Caenorhabditis elegans: one gene and its partners. The protein of the gene in region 2 purifies or fractionates together with the protein of the main gene of each other region. This does not show direct contact. Each region holds a gene or a part of one and is shown on either strand. Other genes may lie near its edges. The genes, in order: C47B2.2, T13F3.6, C30G7.3 and lys-2.

Region 1 (5,242 bases), on a different chromosome or scaffold from region 2:
GAGCGCGCGCGCTCGTGCGTTCTCGGCCCTATTTGGGCTCACTTTCGTCTCTGCTCTCACCGCAATCGTTTCGTTCTCATATAACAATTGTCTTTCTCTTTTAAAACTTTATAATTTTCTTTTTCAGAAAAGAAAATGCGTGAGGTCATCTCTATCCACGTCGGACAAGCCGGAGTCCAAATCGGAAACGCCTGCTGGGAGCTCTACTGCCTCGAGCACGGAATCCAGCCCGATGGAACCATGCCAACTCAATCAACGAACGAGGGAGAGTCGTTCACCACTTTCTTCTCAGACACCGGATCCGGCCGTTACGTTCCAAGATCCATCTTCGTCGATCTCGAGCCAACTGTCGTTGACGAGATTCGCACTGGAACCTACAAGAAGCTCTTCCATCCAGAGCAGATGATCACCGGAAAGGAAGACGCCGCTAACAACTACGCTCGTGGACACTACACCGTCGGAAAGGAGCTCATCGACACCGTCCTCGACAGGATCCGTCGTCTCGCTGATAACTGCAGTGGACTCCAAGGATTCTTCGTCTTCCACTCCTTCGGAGGAGGTACCGGATCCGGATTCACTTCGCTTCTTATGGAACGTCTTTCCGTCGACTACGGAAAGAAGTCCAAGCTCGAGTTCTCCATCTACCCAGCTCCACAGGTCTCAACCGCCGTCGTTGAGCCATACAACTCGATCCTCACCACCCATACCACCTTGGAGCACTCCGACTGCGCCTTCATGGTCGATAACGAGGCCATCTACGACATCTGCCGCAGAAACTTGGATGTTGAGCGACCAAGCTACACCAACCTCAACAGAATCATCTCCCAGGTTTGTTGAGCTCAATTTGATTGTTGTATTCTAATGTTCTCTTTTTACAGGTTGTCTCCTCAATCACTGCTTCCTTGAGATTCGATGGAGCCCTCAACGTTGATCTCAACGAGTTCCAGACCAACTTGGTGCCATACCCAAGAATTCACTTCCCATTGGCCGCCTACACTCCACTCATCTCTGCTGAGAAGGCCTACCACGAGGCTCTGTCCGTCAGCGACATCACCAATAGCTGCTTCGAGCCGGCTAACCAGATGGTCAAGTGTGATCCACGTCACGGAAAGTACATGGCTGTGTGCCTCTTGTACAGAGGAGACGTCGTTCCAAAGGACGTTAACACCGCCATCGCTGCAATCAAGACCAAGAGAACCATCCAATTCGTCGATTGGTGCCCAACCGGATTCAAGGTCGGAATCAACTACCAGCCACCAACTGTTGTGCCAGGAGGTGATCTTGCCAAGGTGCCACGCGCCGTCTGCATGCTCTCCAACACTACCGCCATCGCTGAGGCCTGGTCTCGTCTCGACTACAAGTTCGACTTGATGTACGCCAAGCGTGCCTTCGTCCACTGGTATGTTGCCCGTTAAACTATACTTTTCAAATATTCAATGTGTTTCTTTTCAGGTACGTCGGAGAAGGTATGGAGGAAGGAGAGTTCACCGAGGCTCGTGAGGACTTGGCTGCTCTCGAGAAGGACTACGAAGAGGTCGGAGCTGACTCCAACGAGGGAGGAGAAGAGGAGGGAGAGGAGTACTAGATGCTCCCACAATCAACTGCCTGGCGATTGACTTTTAATTTATTACTGCAGTTCGATCGTCATAAACAATGTATTATGAAGTATTTTATTTATATAATGTTTTTTGTTAAAAAGAGAAAGAATGAAAGTCGGAACACTTTACGTTTATACCGAGTTGAGTGCCGCAGAGCAAACATGTACAAGCCGACAGTATTTGAGCAGCAGACGCTTGTTCTGCTCATCGATCAGTATTAGATTACAGAAATGGCTGGGCATGTGAATGGAACATGTGCTCCAGTGATTCCAAAGGTTGGTGATGAGGAAGACGGTGTCGGGCAGTTGGTGGCAAATCTGAAAGAGAAGGGAACAAATTTTGTTCTTTTGAAGAAGACTCCACAGATACTTGAATTGCAGACAATTTTGAAAGATAGGTATGAAGTTTGACTGGGAATAGACTGAAGCCTCAAACATTTTATGGGTGAAAATTTAAAGAAAGGGGCTGAAAACTCATATTTCCAAGCTCTTTTTCCAGATTTTGCGGAAAAATTAACGATTTTCGGTATTTTTGCCGGAAAAACTTGTTGATTTTAAATAAACTCCTTTTTTGCCTTAAAAAGCGATTTTCTTGGAATTTAGATTTTAAAAATCCGTTAATTCACAAATTTTCGGGTCAGAAACGGCATTTTAAGCGATTTTGCCAGTAAATTAGGAGAAAAATAGAAAACGTTTTCATTTTTTGGCCTTTTTGCCGTGAAATTAACTGAAATTTTGATTAAAAAACGTTTTTTTTTGTTAGAAAACATGAATATATTTATTTATATAAATGAATTTTTCAAGGATTTTCTCGGATTTTGAGTCAAAATTCCGATATTTTCATAAATTTCCGGGTCCGAAACGGTATTTTTCGTGATTTCCTCGCAATTTTAGAAGTTTTCCTTGTAAAAATTGGTTGAGGCTCAGAGAATCTTGTAGTTTGTAGTTTGTAGCCCCATAGCCTCAACCATCTTCCAATTTCCAGATCAACAAATCACTCGGATTTCGTATTCAACGCGGATCGTCTGATGCGGCTTGTAATTGAAGAATGTCTCAATCATCTTCCATTCACTGAGCACACAGTTACCACACCAACAGGCTTCAAATATGAAGGAATTCAATTTAATCGTGGAAATTGTGGAGTATCGTTGTGTAGAAGTGGAGAGGCGATGGAAGTTTCATTGAGACAGTGTTGTCGGTGTATTCGAATTGGAAAAATTCTGATTGGTACGGGAAATTGAGGATATCGAGAGGAATTTGGGAAATTTCCTAGAAAAGGCGAAGAAAATTGAGAAATATAGAAGAAAATGGCGAAAAATCACCAAAATCATTGCGATTTTCATCAATTTCTCCCTGAAATTACCTGGAATCTCTTATAAATGCAGATTTCTGCTTGAAAAATGGAAAAATCTGGTGAATATCCAGTTTTTATAGATTTTCTCCTGAATACCCCTCAAAATCTGTGAAAAGTCTGACTTTTCCTTCAAAAATACCTCTAATTCGTAGAGAAACTCGTTTTTTCAGCCGAAAAATGTTTTTTTTTTTAAATCTGTAATAAATATGTACTGTTCTTATGGTAAAATTCCTGAAAAATATATTAAAAATATATATAATAGTAAAATTTGCGTTTTTACCCAGAAAAGTGGTAGAAATCGTGAGTTTTACTGAGTTTGTCGAAAACTGGCGATACTTTTTTAAAAGAAAAACCTCAAAACTCGCAAAATTTCCAATTTTCATCCACTTTTTGTTACAGGCGACGAACAAAAAGTGCTCTACGCCAGGCTTCTTCCGGATATCACGTCGCGTCGAGTTCTACTGCTCTACCCAACGATAGGGTACGCTCAGAGACTACAAACTACAAAAAATATCTGGCCGAAATAAATTTGATTGAAAAATCTGAGAAAAAAAACACAAAATTTAATGTCAAAAAATCGATTTTCCCGGCGAAAAATCGTAAAATTCAATAATTTGTTTGACGTAGAAACTTTAAAAATGTCGATCACTAAAACTTCCCCAGAAGGCGAAAAATTGTCTAAAAAATTGAGTTTTTTTTTGTGCAAAAAAAATCTTTTTTTGAAATTTTTTTAACTGAAGAAACATTTAAATTTAAAAAATCACATTTTTATCAAAATTTCCAATTTTTCAGATCTGGGACGACAGTTTGCAAGGCAATTGAAGTCCTAAAAGAGGCACGTGTCCCAGATGAGAATATCTACTTGGTTTCCCTATTCATCTCACCGACTGGACTCAAGAATATAACCAGAAAGTACCCGTATATCACTGTCGTCGCCTCCGATATCACATCTCTCTATCCAAATCATTTCTCAACCAGCTATTTTGGTGCTGTCTAGACTAGTTTTGTGTAGTTTGTAGCCTTTTGACACTACAAACTACATCGTTTCCGTTTCAAATGCAGTATTTTTATTCACTTTTCTCACTTGATCATCTCTTCATTTCTCGTTATTGGTTTGTAGTTTGTAGTTATTGTAGTCTTCTTTTTTACTTTTTCACTGTTGATTTCCCCTATTTTTTTTTGACAAAATGTTCATTGAATTTCCGCATAACTAAATTCTTTTGTGTTGTTTTCGGTTCATTAAACATTATTTTAAGATGCAATGACTACGGTAGTCATTTTCTGAGTACATGGTGTGCGTACAGGGCGCTATATTTTACGCGCAAAGTTGAGAGTGAGATTTTTCCTCATTTTTTGGATTTTCACTGCAAATTTAAGAAATTTTACGAAAATAAACGTTTTATTTCAAATTCTATTTGCTACTTTGCATGCAAATTGTTTTTTTTTCATTATATTCTGAAAATAAAATAAGTTAAAATTAGCCGTTTCAAAAAAAGTTTCCGAAACTACGGTAGTTCTCGGAGTACGCAACTTGCGTACCGGGCATCTCATTTGACGCACAGAATTCCTAGTTTATTGTTTTTGGATTTTCAAAATTTCAAACATAGTTTTTGCATTTTTCCTGTCGTTTTTGTGATTTTTATTTGTGAAAATTTATTAGACAGAAAAGAAATTTTCAGTTTTCACGAAATTTACTGGAAAATTTGTTATTTTACCGTTAGGTAACGTATTTTACAAAGATATTTCACTTTATCCGTATTTTCTTATTGTTTTCTTCACTTCAAACGATTGAAAACTGAATCAATCAAATAAATTTCCTATTTTTCAGGTAATTTGTCAAAATGACTGGCTCATCTCGTGGAATTGTCGAAATGACAAAGAAACTGGATCGATTAAATTGTTAGTGTTAAAATGAAATTTGCATCGGATTCAGTTTAAAATTTGCTTATTTTCAGATCGAAGAAAAGACCACTTACGCTTTTAAGCATGCCAGTTGATGTTATGGAGAAAGTTATGAAGAAAGTGGATCCATACGATTGGTATCAAATTTTGAATGTTAGGCAAATGTTAAAAAAAAACCAAATGAGTTTCAGGATTTCCGTCCGCAATTCCAATCGAAATCTTCGAGATTTCGTCGACAGCCAGCACCTCAAATTGGACATTGATGTTTCTATTGAGGGCACTTTTCACACCATTGATATCAATGGAAATCAATCCTTCGGACCTTTCCATCCGGTCGTGGCTGATGATGAAAGAAGAACCATCTACAATAAAAGACTACAGTTTGCTCT
Region 2 (4,030 bases):
AAGTCGGATGCTTTTGGTTGTTGGACATTATTGAACGCATTAAATTTTCAGAATAATTGCTGAAAATCACCAGATGAATACAAAAAGTATGCAGACTGAATTAAAATTTAAAGTTTCGTAATACATAATGTATCTTCGGCAAAAGTTGTTCGTTAATGTAGAGGGTTAGTGAAAAAAAATATCGTATTTGTTGTTGAGAGACTTAGACGCGTCAAGTTTGTTGGCAGAGAACGAGTACTCCAAGTGAAAAACTGTTTGTCTGTTTGTTTTCTCTCTCTCTCTCTCTTATTTTTTTGTCTTGTAGATTTCGAATCAGTAGTAAGTCTATTTAATGTCTAAAGAGTCATAGGTTGAGTTATCAATACTTATATATTTAAAAATACAGTGCATAGTTTGTAGTCTATGTAGTCTTTGTAGTCTGCGTTGTTTTGGCTTATGAAGGGATATTGATTTTTAATCTCCAATAAAAATTCGGCCATTTTTATGCCTGAAAGCCAGTTTTTTTGATTGAACTGGAAGCTTCCGGCACCTAGAAAATTTTTGTAGTTAGAATCTCAAAGCGCTTAAAAAATTTGAAAAAAATCTTGAAAGTCCTAGAATTTCTTGAAAGTCCGCAAAACTCCAGGAAAATGTATGACTGTACAAAAATGTTACATTAGCACTTTAAAATTTATTAAAACAATTTAGCGTACGCCAGTCGGAGCACGCGCCTTGCGCGTGCGAACGGCTGGTATATCAATAAAAAAAACGAATAAATAATAAAGCGCAAAATGCGCGGAAAACTTATTTGAAATCTAAAATAGTTTTATTCAACATTTTACTATTAGTCACAAAATTCTGGTCTTAAATTAGCGGTTTGTTTTACATATTGTTCCTGAATTTTTCCTGATTGGTCATCACACAAATTTGCGATATTTTCCTTAATGCATGGTTGAAGACTGTCCCATTGATCGCACTCATCTACTTCTGGCTGAAAATTTCAATTTTGTGAGAACAATCGAATATTTGAAATTAAAAAGTATGAGCTTTCATGGTAGACAGGCGCGGTTACAGGCCCAAAAACCTGCCGGCTTCACACCTCAATTCTGCATTCTTGCTTGAAACAAAAGTTCGCGCTCGACACTTTTTGAGCTCCGCGCAGCACTATAGGACGCGGATTGCGGTGTGAGGCAGGCGAAGGAAGGCGAGGCAGGCGCTGCAGGCGTCTCGGAGCCTGCATGATTACAGTTTTGCATACCTCGTGAACATCATTGAAAAGTGTGTTGAGGCATGAAATATTGTCATCTTTCTTCGCGATCAGCTTTTTGGCGCAATTTGAGAAGTCGCGATTGTAGAAAATATAGAATAGGCAAGGGCTCACTTTGGTTGAGAACTTGTCTAGTAGGGAAGCGTCCACCGATTTTACACAATTCTGAAATTTTGCCATTGTTCCGTTCTTAATTTTTGAAAAAATATTACTATAATTTCTTCACATTTATCTGCGTAAGCTTTGTATGTCTCCGGTGGCCAGAAAAATCGGTCTGTAACATTTATCGACTTGATGATTGGCTCCAAGCCTAGACCAATCTAAAAATTTAATGAATTTACAAAAAATCTCACTATTAGTATTAGGCATACTTACAGTTTTACAATCATCCATTGTAGCTGCTGTCGCAAAAATTGGAAGACCAATTACCAAGATAAAACCAAAAGAAATCATGGTTTATTTTTCATTTTACAAATGGTGGAGACCCATTTTATACTGCTATCATCTACTGATCAACACAATTTTTTGAAACTAGATTTTGTGTAATGTCTGATAAGTGTTCGCAGTTCGATTGAAGATTGAAAGTTAAAGTTTGATAGTTGATCGAAATCGTATCAAACAGTGTCCCAATAAAGCAATTTCTTCAAAATTTATCTCTCTCACAATCAATAAAATTTAAACTTTAAAATTAAAATGTTTTTTTCACGGAAACTTTTAAATATCAATTTTCAAATATTAAATATTAGTGTTAACGTGAAGAAATAGGGCAGTGGAACATAGGGGCAGCCGACGAAATTAGTTTTACAAAAATAAATCAATACTGGATTTGTACAGCAAGATTCTGTTGGACCGGAATTCAAATCCCCGATTGCCAATTATTGAAATGATCAGTGAGTTGGAAATTTTTCGCAAAATTTCAATCAATAATTCGGTTTCAGATTTAATCTGGTTTCCACAGCTTCTACAATTGATCATATGGATGTCTGTATTGACTGGTGAGTTGCTTTTGTGCAGCCTACAAAGTGCGGGTTTTTTAAGCAAATCCTTTTGAAATTGAAGTGAAAATGCGCTCCATCGCCAAATAGGGAGCTTCATATTATGGGTCCCGTTAAGTCCGAAAAAGTTGAACGATTCAATTATTTTCGCCAATTGAAAAAACATTTTCAGCATCTCTCCATTTGTGTAAGAAGAAGGGCAAAGCCAAGCCAAAGGCAAAAGTCCGTGAGATGTCAACAGTGAAGATGACGACAACGACTGGTCTCACCACGAACAATGTGAACATTGGAAATCCAGCGCCTGAGGAGAAGAAAAAAGAGGAAAAGGTGGAGAAGAAACCGGAGGAAAACAAGGAAGCAGAGAAGAAGGATGAGCCGAAGAAGGAAGAGGAAAAGAAGGAAGAGGAGAAGAAAAAAGAGGAGAAGAAGGAAGAGGAGAAGAAGGAGGAAGTGAAGGAGGAGGAGAAGAAAGATGATTCAAAACGAGATGAGAAAAAGAAGGATGGAGAAAAGAAGGAAGATGATGAAAACAAAGAGGATAATGAAAAGAAAAAAGAAGAGAAGAAGGAGGACGAGAAGCCCAAGAAGGAGGAAATCGTGCCACAAGAGCAAAAGTACACGGACAAAGAGCAAGCAATCGCTGATGGAGTCAAGAAGAAGAGGACGGACTATCCGACTATGGAGGATGTGGCGAGTGATTGGGACGATAGCAAGAAGAAGAAGAAGAAGGATGATGATAAGGAGTAATGGGAAGATCTGGATTATCTGTGAACTCTTTTTTTGCAATGTATGTGGTATTTTGAAAAAGTAAAGATTGATGAAAATTTGGGGTGGGCTTCTCCACCCATCGAAGTATACATTAATTGCGGACTTTATGCAATTTTGAGCAGAATTTCAACTATGTACAGTCCAAGATAAATATATTAACAAATAGCTTCATTAGCTGAATTCCAGATCACATCACAAAAAAGTTATTCCGCCTTCTCTCCCATTGGCTGGTTGTTCTTGAAAAGCTCATTTTTCGATCTGTACTGTACTTGCATATCCTTGTCCACTTGATCCGCTTGATCAATGTCCGAGATAAGGGGAATCGCGAATTCGGAAATTCTCCACGTCTTGATGAATTGGATGAGGGCGAAGATGACGTAGGCGGTGGCGGTGTGAATTACAAAGCAGAAGGCTGTCAGGGTGTGCGCGTCTGTTATCAATTTCTGGAAACAAAATAGATAGGCAAGCATGATGATAGGTAAGCAGGTAGGCTCAAAACAATCAATGGACAGGTATAATGTGGCATGGGTATGCACAATTGTAGGTAGGCAGGCAGGCATGGTAGGTAGGCAGGCATGTGCGTACGTGAGCATTTAAAGGTTCGAAAGTCGGTAGAATGTTATGATGTTGATACACAGGTAGGCAGGTAGACATAACGCAAGCACGTAGTTAGACAGTTGTAAAGCAGGGGTACGCACTCGTACAGGTAGGCTGTGTTTGAAAATACTATTTGTTACCTGCCTGCACTTGCCTATCTATCTAGATGGACACCATGCCTACTTACAAGGTCGCATCAGGTTTTGATGCCTACGCCCTCTGCCTGCCTCATTCTCACCCTAAAAAACCAAATACAAATCTTGCTCTATAATCGTACCAATTGAACACTTGGTGGTACGGTTGCAATCAAATTCAGTGTGATCTTGATTCCATCGGTAAACGAGACGTCTTGCCAGCGTGAGGCGGAGATGGTAGCTGAAAATCATTACTATATATAAAGCGCTATTCCGTATGTCTCTGACGT
Region 3 (6,209 bases), 1.3 Mb from region 2:
TCTCCTAACTTTTCATTATGCTTATATTTCTCTTTTTTTTTATTTTGGTATCTGGTTTCAATTTTAAAAACATGGTTTTTTTAAAAATAAATATTATTAATAAGTTCTCTGCAACAAAACAATATAATAGCAAACAACCCTTTTCAGATAAAACGTATTGCTATTTTTCCTGAAAGTTCAGTTTGAAAAAGCGTTTAATTTGTTTGACTCTCTGTTGAATTTCCTATTTTATATATGCTTATTTTTTCTCGAATAAATAAGTATGGCGTCAAAAAATTCGTTTAAATCAAAAACCAATTTTTATCATCATGTCGACGAAATAGCTTGGCTTGGGGACACACAAGGTCTAACAAATAAGAATGAAGCTCATAACAGCGCAAAAAACAAGCCGTTTTGCTTCACTTTGCCGGCTTATGTCACAGGGCTTAGGCTTAGGATTTTTTTTGGTTTAGCCTTAGGCTCATTTTTAGGCTTAGTCTTAGGCACTTAGGCATTATTTCCAGTTATTCGCTTTCCTGAAAATTGTTAAAAATCTACTTGAAAATCCGGGTTGTTAGGTGACTACAAAAAAGGTTTAAAAAATTGGAAATCCAATCAATAAATTCTTTATTCGCAAAAATCGAGGAAAATCAATTGCCGTGGATAATGAAGTGTGCAACTTTTGTGACTGTTCCCTGGAATAATAAAATATTTTTACACGGTTATGGTGTTTGCAAGGCACCAAAATTGCGCAAACAAGTTTTCTATTGCATGGGGAGCACGCTCAAAAAATTTCAGAGCTCTGTGTCTACTAAGAGCAAAGTTAGGGTAACTGCAAGTTTTGACATGCGTCGTGTGTCGCTAGGACTTTCAAACCACCTTAACTTTGCTCAAAATGTGGCTACAGCTCTGAAATTTTCTGTGGTTCATTTTTTTCATCTAATTTGATGTTCTGAATTAAAACGCTAAAGTTTCAAAAATTTCATGAGTTTCGTGTCGCGTCGCGGTCCAGCCATGAAATTTCACACAGAAACTTAAAAGTACGTACTCCTGGATTCGAAGCTTTGACACGACGCTGTCTCATCTGACAATTGAAATCCTTGACGTCATCATCGATTTCTTGAAGCTTCTTCTGCAAAAAAATCAATATTTATTTTCCATATTAGGCAATCACTCACCAAATGAGCGGCGCTCTGTGGATACACGGCTTCCGTCACAAATTGCAAACGTTCCATGTTTTCACAGGCCATCGATAGATGTGCGGCAACTCGTTCTGCACACTTTTCCGCTTCAATTGTGCCGTAAAACGCCGGATTTTGAGCAAGGATGACGTCATCGAGTTCCACGTCATCATCATCTTCAACTGGAACATTCACGTTCAGGTCGTCAATATCATCGTCTTTTGGAACTCGGTTAGCAGAGAAACTATCGATTTTCACCTCATCATTTCGACAATTTGATATGCGAATTTTTTGGTAGGATTTCGGTTGGAGGTGGCTGAAACTAGGAAAATTAGGGCTTCAAATTTAATGATCAAGAATTGCGTCATGGCACGAAAAATACGCCAAGGAGCAATGATGACGTCATCATATTAACAATTACATTGGGAGCGTTCACAAAAAATTTTGAAAGTCTTCGAACAGTGCGAGCAAAGTTACAGTGGTTCAAAACTTTAGTCTGCGTCGCGGTTTTTCTCAATACTTCAAATCTACGTAACTGTTCAAAATCTACGTAACTGTTCAAAATTGTTCAAAATGCTCGTAGAGCTGTGTATTGATTTCTCTGTATTGATTTCTGATGTATGTATGTATACTACTGTTAACGCCTTAACGCAAAACTCGTGCCTTGGCGCGTTTCTAGTGCAAACTCACCACACATCCTGAATGACTTGAGTCGCCGCTTCATTGATAGTCACATGTCTTTTGGTGGTTTTTGTGACTTTTTGCTTTGTCTCGGGCAGTTTTTTCAGTTTCAGGCGGTGTTGGTAGGCGTCGAAGGCGTCGGATGCCGTGCGGTTGTTGTACTGAAAATTTTTTGAATTGAATGTACGTAATAATACACAGCTAGCCACACAAAAAATTTCAAATCAATCCACTGGGAGCAAAGTTACAACTAGTCAAAGCAAACAACCTGCGACGCGGTCGATTAATCTTATAAGAAACTTCAAGGCCTGGTAACACTGCTCAAAATAGTCTTATCGAACTGAAATTTCAGGTATGTCTTTCTGATAGGATGTCCAACAAGCCAACAAAATGATAGAGCCTTGGCGCAATTCTCGACCCACCTTTCTCTTATCAAATGGCTGATAAATCCACGTGGCAAGTGCCTTTGGTTGCTCCGCCGCTGCACGATCCCAGTTCGTGACATATACATTCCTTTTCTTCGGTTTTTCCACAATTTTTTGCTGAAAATAAAAATATATATTGATTTATTGATTTTTAGTCCAAAAAATCAAAAAATCAATACATTTCCGGTCGGAATCTGACGATAGATAGTTGTTAAAAATGGCATTTTGTACAGCGATCAAATTTTGAAATGATTTTTTTCCAATATTCTCACCTTGAGGGGACATTTGACACGTGGCGACACTACGGTGATTTGTTCACGTGAAAATTCCAAAATTGACAGTGATGAGGTGGTGGAGCCGGTGGTGCCGTCTGCATAAAATCGATAATCAAAAAAAAGAACGTGAAAAAATATCGCTTTTTACTTAAAATCAAAAATATTTTCGAAGTATTGATTTTTAGGAATTACAGGGTGGGCCAAAAGTATGGTAACACGTTTGCAGCTCTATAACTTTACTAGTGGAGAGAGTTATTACATCAATTTGTACAAGTTTTGTTCTCCATAAAATACTGACCAGATGAACGTTTTGAATTTTCAAAATATATCCATCCGCATTGCTGCAGGCCTTCAGAACTTTTGAGATCACGATCTTTATGGCACGCAAGTCGGCATTCTGCGGGATTTCTACATTTTTCTTGAGGAATCCATAAAGTGTCTTACAAGTTTTTATAGTTCAAAGAATGCCCTTGGTCTAGAGATTCTTTAAAAACAAAAATCAAAATATTTTCTATCACGGTATTTCTGTCATGGACTGCGGCAGTAGGTTAAGTCTTGAATGGCATAGTCGCCAGAAAGATGGATGTGAGCGGCGAGTAGCAGTATTCAGATAAATTTATTTTAGTATTTTTCGAGACGTTTTGACCTGACTTTCCAGAATTTTTTTAGAAAATTGAGCTCGGATGATTTTGTGGGTCGTTACGCCTTGCGAAACCAAAAAAACTGAGTAAATTTCGCAAAGTTGAATTCATGAAATATACAAAGGTTCTTGCTAGGCGCCAGTGTCGACACAGAACATTTTTATATGCTACAAAAACAATTAAAAACGCTTCTTCACTTCTTTAACTTTCAATTTAACATAAAAATCATACATCTGAAAATTATTGGCGTGCGTGGGAGGTGTGTTTGTGTGGGAAGTGCCGCGTGCCAAATTACCGTTTTTTCGAAAGGGTTCGCCAAATTGTCGAGGTGATAAAGATCGCACCTTATTGGGAAACATTACAAATTTTGAGTCAAATTGAAGGAAATTTATTCAGCTATCAGTATTCGATAGAAGAATGTACGTATGACGTGGCAGTCGCGCGAAAAGCTCATGTAAAAGAGCGCTTCATGTGTTACCATACTTTTGGCCCACCCTGTATGCTATTTTTACCAACAAAAAAATCAATAATTCGAAAATTTTAATTTTAACTCTTTTCTGGAACAAAAATCGATAATTACACGTAGGTGAAAATTTTTGTGTAAAATATAGATTTTACGGAAAAATCGATATTTTCTAAATTTTCAAAATATTTATTTTTGAGAAATTATCGATTTTTGAACAGAAACAACAAAAACTATCAGTTTTTCCCGACTCTCAAACTCACAGCAGACGTAATACGGATTACGACGAGTGCCGGCGGTACAGACGTTGTCCCAGATGTGAGAATTTTTCTGAAAAATATACGGTATCGTGAATTGCGCAAGCAAATGCTGGCGCATTTCTCGTGCACCTCACCTTTGATTGTCTGCAGTTCATTGGAGTAATGTGAATAAGCGGCGAGTAATAAATGTGGTATTGACGAGTATAAAAGTGAGAAATAATTGAAATTTATCGATTTTATCAATCTCACGGATTATCGATTATTGTTGAGAATAACAAAATTCGAAAAGGCCACGTGAAGATTTAATTTCAAAAACAGTTTTATTTAAAAAAATATATCGATAATTATTACATTTTCTTTCTTTTTTTCAAATTGAGATCATGACAATACAAAAATCAATAAATTAATGAGAAAAAATCTATAAGACTCCCGAGTAGAAACCATTTTCCACGACATTAGATTTCAGAGTTACATACTTTCCATCTTCCTGTAAAAATCGATAAATTTTGAATGATCGGTAATCTGCCATTTTCAATTTTTGACAAATCGATAATGTGAAGTTTTAATTTTTTTTTTTTGAAAAGTCGATAATATGAAATTTTAATTTTTGAAAAATTGATAATTTTTTATTAATTTCCGGAAAATCCATCATTTGAAATTTTTCATTTACGAAAAACATTATTTTTTATTCACAAAAGCCAAGAAATCAATTGTCGTGGATAATAAAGTGTGCAACTTTTGTGGCAGTTCCCTAGGTTAATGAAATATTTTAACGCGACTTTGGTGTTTGCACGAGAATAGAGCCAAGACACCAAATTTGAGTCAGATATCATGATAACCAATATGGCTTAATGCTACGAAAATAACTTAAATTATCTTCTAAAAATCTCGGAATTAAGCATTGTTGGTGCAAGACTAATAGAAATAATACGGTATATGTTTTTTAATCTACAGTTGGTCAAATATTTCATTGCGAGGTCAATCTGGGTTGTGATGGTTTAACGTCGAATTGTAACTTTTTTGCTGCCATCCCATCAAATTGAACAAAAAACTTACAGCTTTTTATAATATAGAAACAATTTTGGATGCTATCATGTCATAAATATTATAGTTCTATATTTATCAGTCGGCTTCTATGTAAGAAGCATTTAGAATTTCTTCGTCATTGTGAACAATAGATGATTATTGTCAGCTTTTAATTATTATTTTTGCAATTGGACAAATTTCAAACACATTTTCAGTACATCTACAAAAATTGACAACGGTGAAGTAAACTACGATGTCGCATTGGTTTATTAAATTTCAAAATGATGACTAGAAATGCGAACAGTCATCAAATTACATGGATTTTCACAATATTTGGATTCTCTTCATCAACTTGAACTTCAGCTTCTGACAATGAAATTTCTGATAAAGTATTATTCACCGATTGAACATCTGAGGGTATTGTTATTTCCTCATTTGATACTGGAGAGCATGCAGGTGCGGCTGGTGTCGTTTTTGATGGGTCGGATGTTGAACCATCCTTCAAATCTTTTGCCTTTTGTCTTGAATTCGTTAATATTTTTTTGATAGCTATTGAAATGTGCCCATCCTTGTTGAGGTATAGGAAAATGAGAAAAAGAGCAATTAACATGAAGCCGAAACCAATGATGAAATCAAAAACTGCCATGTTTGAAGTTCTGGAATTCTTTGAAGTAGAAATCATTTGTATCCTATATGTTTTTGAATTGGAAAAAACTTACAGCTTCTGAAAATATAGAATCAATTTTAAATGTCATTTTTGTCATAAATATAATAGCTTTTGTACTTTTCAGACGGCTGCTTCTAGGTGTTAAGAATTCCGAAGTTTTTTTTGTTATCGCAAACAATTGATGATGATTTATTTTGGAAATGTGACTAATAATATTTAATTGTGAAACTTTTTCGTTATTATTTTCCCGATGAAACAAATTATTTGGCGAGAAAAACATTGGTTTCAATTTTTTTTTCGTACTTTTGAGGGCTACCTGCAAGTGAAAAAATTCTTTAATTGTTTCGTAGGTGCATTGCTTCATTGTGATGTGGGGAACGTTACTGAGAATGTGAAAAAAAAGAAAAGAATGCTGCATGCATCAGGGTTGTGCGGCAAATTTGCCGAGCTCGGCAAATTTCGAAATTACAGAATTCAGTAGTTTTGTTGCTCCAAGGAACATCAAAAAATATCAAATTTTTGGAGTTTGTTAAGCACGGCAAATTTGCCGATTTTGCTGAGCTCGGCAAATTTTGAGACTTGTCGCACACCACTGGTTTGCATTGTAGTAT
Region 4 (4,155 bases), 6.0 Mb from region 2:
CAGTTACTCGTGAATTTTTAGCGGCAAAACTCCCGAACCAAGCTCACGGCGGGCTCTCAAAGATCTTAAAATAGCACTGTAAGGAAGAACTTTAACGATCTAACGAAGCAATTTTCCAATTTCACTTTGGTAGCTCATATCTCCGTAGATAAATTTTTTACAGAAAAGTCATCAACTGATAAGTTGTTGATTTTGTTGTAACAAACAAGTTTGTAATTAAAAGTTTTTTACCACAAAATTTTTGTTTGAGATAAAAGTGCGTGAAGTGCGGCAACTGGTGTTGTTATTTTTATGCTGCTATTCCGTTTCTAATGATTTTCTCGCAAACAAAAATTTTTTGGTAAAAAACTTTCAACTACAAACTTGTTCTTTACAACAATATCAACAACTTTTTAGTTGATGACTTTTCTGTAAAAAATTTATCTACGGAGATATGAGCTACCAAAGTGAAATTCGAAAATTGCTTCGTTAGATCGTTAAAGTTCTTCCTTACAGTGCTATTTTAAGATCTTTGAGAGCCCGCCGTGAGCTTGGTTCTGGAGTTTTGCCGCTAAAAATTCACGAGCAACCGTTTTAAGACATGCACTATCGAATGGCATTGGTCTCATATGCAAGTCCGATGGGCAGCTTCTGACGGTTCCCTAGTCAGCCGTGACTCCAGTTTATCTGAGAGGGTATAGGATAGAATATATTCAATATTACCCGCGTGGAAGGCTTGTTGAACTCAACGTAATTTGAAAAAAAGAAATCATTTGTTCAAAATAATTAAATCTGAAAATTAACATACGAAGATGTTTTTGCACTTTTTAAGTTGCATTGACACCTAACGATAATATGCATTTAATCGCTTTTTACGCATTAATATCAATGTGTTTAACTTTCGTGACTTTTAGACTTTTTCTCTCCTTCAAGAAAATTCTTCTGCCGGCAAAATGATAACAGATGATAACAATTTTATTTGGGAAGAGATCATAAAACCGATAATAAGTTTAATAAATTAGTTTCCGACAAATCCTCCGACAACAATCTTTTCACCATCTGCCATATTGACTTCAGTCTTTGGAGCAGCAGCTGGAATTCCAACAGCATACACGTCACGATTCACAACCAAATTACAAACTGTTTCAACTTGAGCATACTGCTTCACTGAAGCCTTCTTGAATGGGCCGAAAGCACGGAAATCAGCAAAAGTTGGCTTTGTCTCTCCAGAAGTACCACCTCCAAGAACATTCCAATACCAGAGCATGACATTAGAATTGATATTCGCCGAATTTCCAGTAATCTGGCTCCAGTCATATTGGTTTGTGTAAATTCCAACAGAGAGACCATATTGTTGAGCACGGGAAATTATGCTGTTGATAAAGTTGACGTTGGCAGTTGGATTGTTTGGCCAGTTGGCAGGGGAAGTAACCTGGAAAATTTGTAGTTTAGGGAAATAATTATTTAAATATTATGTTCGATTTTCTGAAAGATAAGAAATACACAAACTCGTGAATGCTTGTGAATTGAGAGGAAGTAATGATAAAATACTTTTGAGAAAATTCATAAATAGAGGAGCAACTCTCTATGAAACTGAAACTATAGTAGTACCAGCCTCAAAATGAACTTGAGGGAAATTCTAAATTTAAACTGTGTCTGAACTACTAACCTGAATCCAGACTGATCGGATAGTGATTCCATTATTGTTGAGTCCGTTATAAAGAAGATCAAGTTGTTGGTATCCTTGCCAGCTTGATATTGGCTGAGGAGTCATGTATGTCTCAATTCCCAATCCAGCTGAATAAGCATTTCTGATATTTCCAACACAATTTGAATCAAAAGCTCCATTTCCAGTTGGAACAAATCCACGGAGGAATACAACTTGATATTTTGCTTTCTTCAAACAATTCATTACTTGGACATTTGTTGGAAAGGAAAAATCGACAGCATTTCCCATTGAAGCGTCATTGTTAACAATTACTGGAGCTTCATTTGCTTCGGTATTTGCAATCGCAGCTTGGTTCGAGTCGATTTCTTGTGGTCTCGCAGAAGAGAGAACAAATAGGATAGTAAAAGAAACTAGAAGCTTGATCATTTTACTGATCTATTTCAGTGAAGATAAAAATTGTGGTTTTCCTATCAGTTTATATACAAGACGATGAGCTCTTTTCAGTGCACAAAATGACGAATCTCTCTGAAATAAGATGGGTTTCTTAGTCAGTTGAAAATGTCAACAGTGGTTTGGCTTCATTTTCTGAATTAATGAATGATAATTGATAAGAAGGCAAGAATACCAGTGCAGACTCTCTGTTGTCAATTAAAGTGATGTGATGAAAAAGAGGCCAAAGATAGAGAAAGAAACTTTCTACATGTTCCTTTACACAACATCGTCAGTGAGGATATTTCTCGAAGTTTTAGAACAAAGAGAACAACAGAGAGATGCTTTTTGAAATTCGGGTTTAAAAATGAGAAATTGTAAATAAATTTCAATGGATCCCCAAATTATACGAAATCTAGTGATCCCACCTCAAATGTTGTATTCAGAAAATTTGAAAGTGATTTCAAAAAATTAGTTTCCAGCCGCTGCAACATGGATAAGTTGGACAAATTTCAAATGTTAACTATTTGTAGGTAATTTTTGTTTTCAATATAAAGTTGCATTATGAAATTCGGTGTTTTCAGACAATTTCGAGTCTAATAAAGCAATAAAAATTTCGGCGACACCATTATTAATAACAAGTGTATTTTTGTGTGTTGATAATTTTATCGTTAAAAAGGTTATCGACAATCACATCGGAAATATTTATTTTGTATTATGCTTTCTGGTATCAAAGATTTAGTCGACAATTCTCATTCCTTGGATTCTCAAAATCCGATTCCACCAACACGAATCAATTTCTTCTCCGAACTCGAATTTTCTTGATGAGTTGAGAAGTGTACAATTTGAGACAAGTGTTGGTTTCCGGTGGAATACACATTTCGGTTTACAATCATTCCACAAAGTTTTTCAACTTGTCCAAATTGTTTCACAGTGGCCTGTCTCCATGGTCCAAATGGACGGAAATCTTCAAGAGTTGGAGTAGTTTCACCATCAGTACCCATACTCAGAACATGCCAGTACCACAAGAAAACATCAGAACTAAACGTGTTCCAGCCTCCTGTGATTTCCAACCAATCATAAAATGAAGTGTAGATTCCAACTGACAAGCCCAGATTCTGAAAGTAATAAAGTGAATAAGAAGTTGTTCTTTGTGATCATGATCCATGCTTCGAAAATTAAAACTTCTAAACAGTGTGAGTCAGAAAATGTACATTCCGCTTCAGCAAACAATATTCGTGTATGTGATCAACTTAAATATAATCGTCCTATAAACGTCTCAGGCGTGCCCCACGTTCAGAGGCGAATTTCGCGGAAATTGTTTTACTGTTGTTTTCCATGCATCAGGAGCTTCAGTTTGTCTCGCTAATGTTTGGTAACATACCTTCGCACTTCTAATCATATCTTGGATAAACTCAATTCTCACAGCCATTGGTGCAACCCAATTTGTTGGAGAAGTTACTTGAATCCAGATAGATCTAACATTAATTCCATTAGCAAGCAAATTCTGGTAGACCAGACTAATTTGGTCTGCTCCAGACCTTGTTGAGTTGATGTTTGGAGTGATGTAAACTTCACTTCCAAGTCCAGCTGAAAAAAAAACAAAATGATAATAATAGGATTATTTTGTTTATTTAGTCAATCTTACCTTCAAATGCATTGTTGATTGTATTCAAGGCATTTCGATCAAAATAAGTATTTCCAATTGGATTCAAAGCTCTGACAAATACAGATTTATAACCTTGATCTCTCAAACAATCCATGTCACTCGGAGTTGTGTGAAATGAAATGTCAACTGAATATGCATGAGTTGGGGAGTTTCGTTCATCATATGGAATTGCTGGAGCATCTTTCACTTCAGGAATATTATAATCTGGGTCAATCACTTGTTCAGAAACTTTCTGCAGCAATCCAAATGGTTCTGATACATTCGTTTGAAGAGGAGCTGGGAAAGAGTAGCACAATGTAATAGAGACTAGAAGAGCGAAAAGTTTCATTTTCCGAAATGATAATATTGAACTCAAGAAAGCATTTATACTCGTTTTGATGTCGCTGGTTGAGTAATCAAGTAATAAAGT

Evidence for each region.
Region 1: the proteins of T13F3.6 (region 2) and C47B2.2 fractionate together in Caenorhabditis elegans (co-fractionation; one large-scale study listed by BioGRID). This does not show direct contact.
Region 3: the proteins of T13F3.6 (region 2) and C30G7.3 fractionate together in Caenorhabditis elegans (co-fractionation; one large-scale study listed by BioGRID). This does not show direct contact.
Region 4: the proteins of T13F3.6 (region 2) and lys-2 fractionate together in Caenorhabditis elegans (co-fractionation; one large-scale study listed by BioGRID). This does not show direct contact.

Annotation. Positions count from the first base shown.
Region 1 is NC_003279.8:12,961,157-12,966,398, reverse strand, and holds C47B2.2 (Phosphoribosyltransferase domain-containing protein), read left to right. Parts: upstream 1-1,819; 5' UTR 1,820-1,828; coding exon 1,829-1,995; intron 1,996-2,582; coding exon 2,583-2,824; intron 2,825-3,350; coding exon 3,351-3,432; intron 3,433-3,743; coding exon 3,744-3,948; 3' UTR 3,949-4,357; downstream 4,358-5,242. Other genes in the region: tba-2 (Tubulin alpha-2 chain), read left to right, coding at 136-828, 879-1,399, 1,453-1,585; fbxa-140 (F-box domain-containing protein), read left to right, coding at 4,938-4,990, 5,045-5,242.
Region 2 is NC_003283.11:16,269,511-16,273,540, forward strand, and holds T13F3.6 (T20D4.11-like domain-containing protein), read right to left. Parts: upstream 1,712-4,030; 5' UTR 1,700-1,711; coding exon 1,622-1,699; exon of another isoform or gene 1,567-1,621; coding exon 1,459-1,566; exon of another isoform or gene 1,412-1,458; coding exon 1,238-1,411; exon of another isoform or gene 971-1,237; coding exon 824-970; 3' UTR 790-823; downstream 1-789. Other genes in the region: fbxa-2 (F-box domain-containing protein), read right to left, coding at 1-28; T13F3.8 (uncharacterized protein), read left to right, coding at 2,130-2,136, 2,185-2,241, 2,414-2,988; pacl-1 (Polycystin-Associated Channel-Like), read right to left, coding at 3,213-3,452, 3,884-3,981.
Region 3 is NC_003283.11:14,941,546-14,947,754, forward strand, and holds C30G7.3 (MADF domain-containing protein), read right to left. Parts: upstream 4,160-6,209; 5' UTR 4,061-4,159; coding exon 4,040-4,060; intron 3,976-4,039; coding exon 3,909-3,975; intron 2,637-3,908; coding exon 2,539-2,636; intron 2,384-2,538; coding exon 2,264-2,383; intron 2,003-2,263; coding exon 1,851-2,002; intron 1,477-1,850; coding exon 1,158-1,476; intron 1,112-1,157; coding exon 1,028-1,111; intron 675-1,027; coding exon 630-674; 3' UTR 585-629; downstream 1-584. Other genes in the region: C30G7.4 (Matrix-remodeling-associated protein 7), read right to left, coding at 5,239-5,577.
Region 4 is NC_003283.11:10,279,371-10,283,525, forward strand, and holds lys-2 (Lysozyme-like protein 2), read right to left. Parts: upstream 2,105-4,155; 5' UTR 2,075-2,104; coding exon 1,649-2,074; intron 1,412-1,648; coding exon 998-1,411; 3' UTR 937-997; downstream 1-936. Other genes in the region: lys-3 (Lysozyme-like protein 3), read right to left, coding at 2,845-3,195, 3,462-3,667, 3,726-4,074.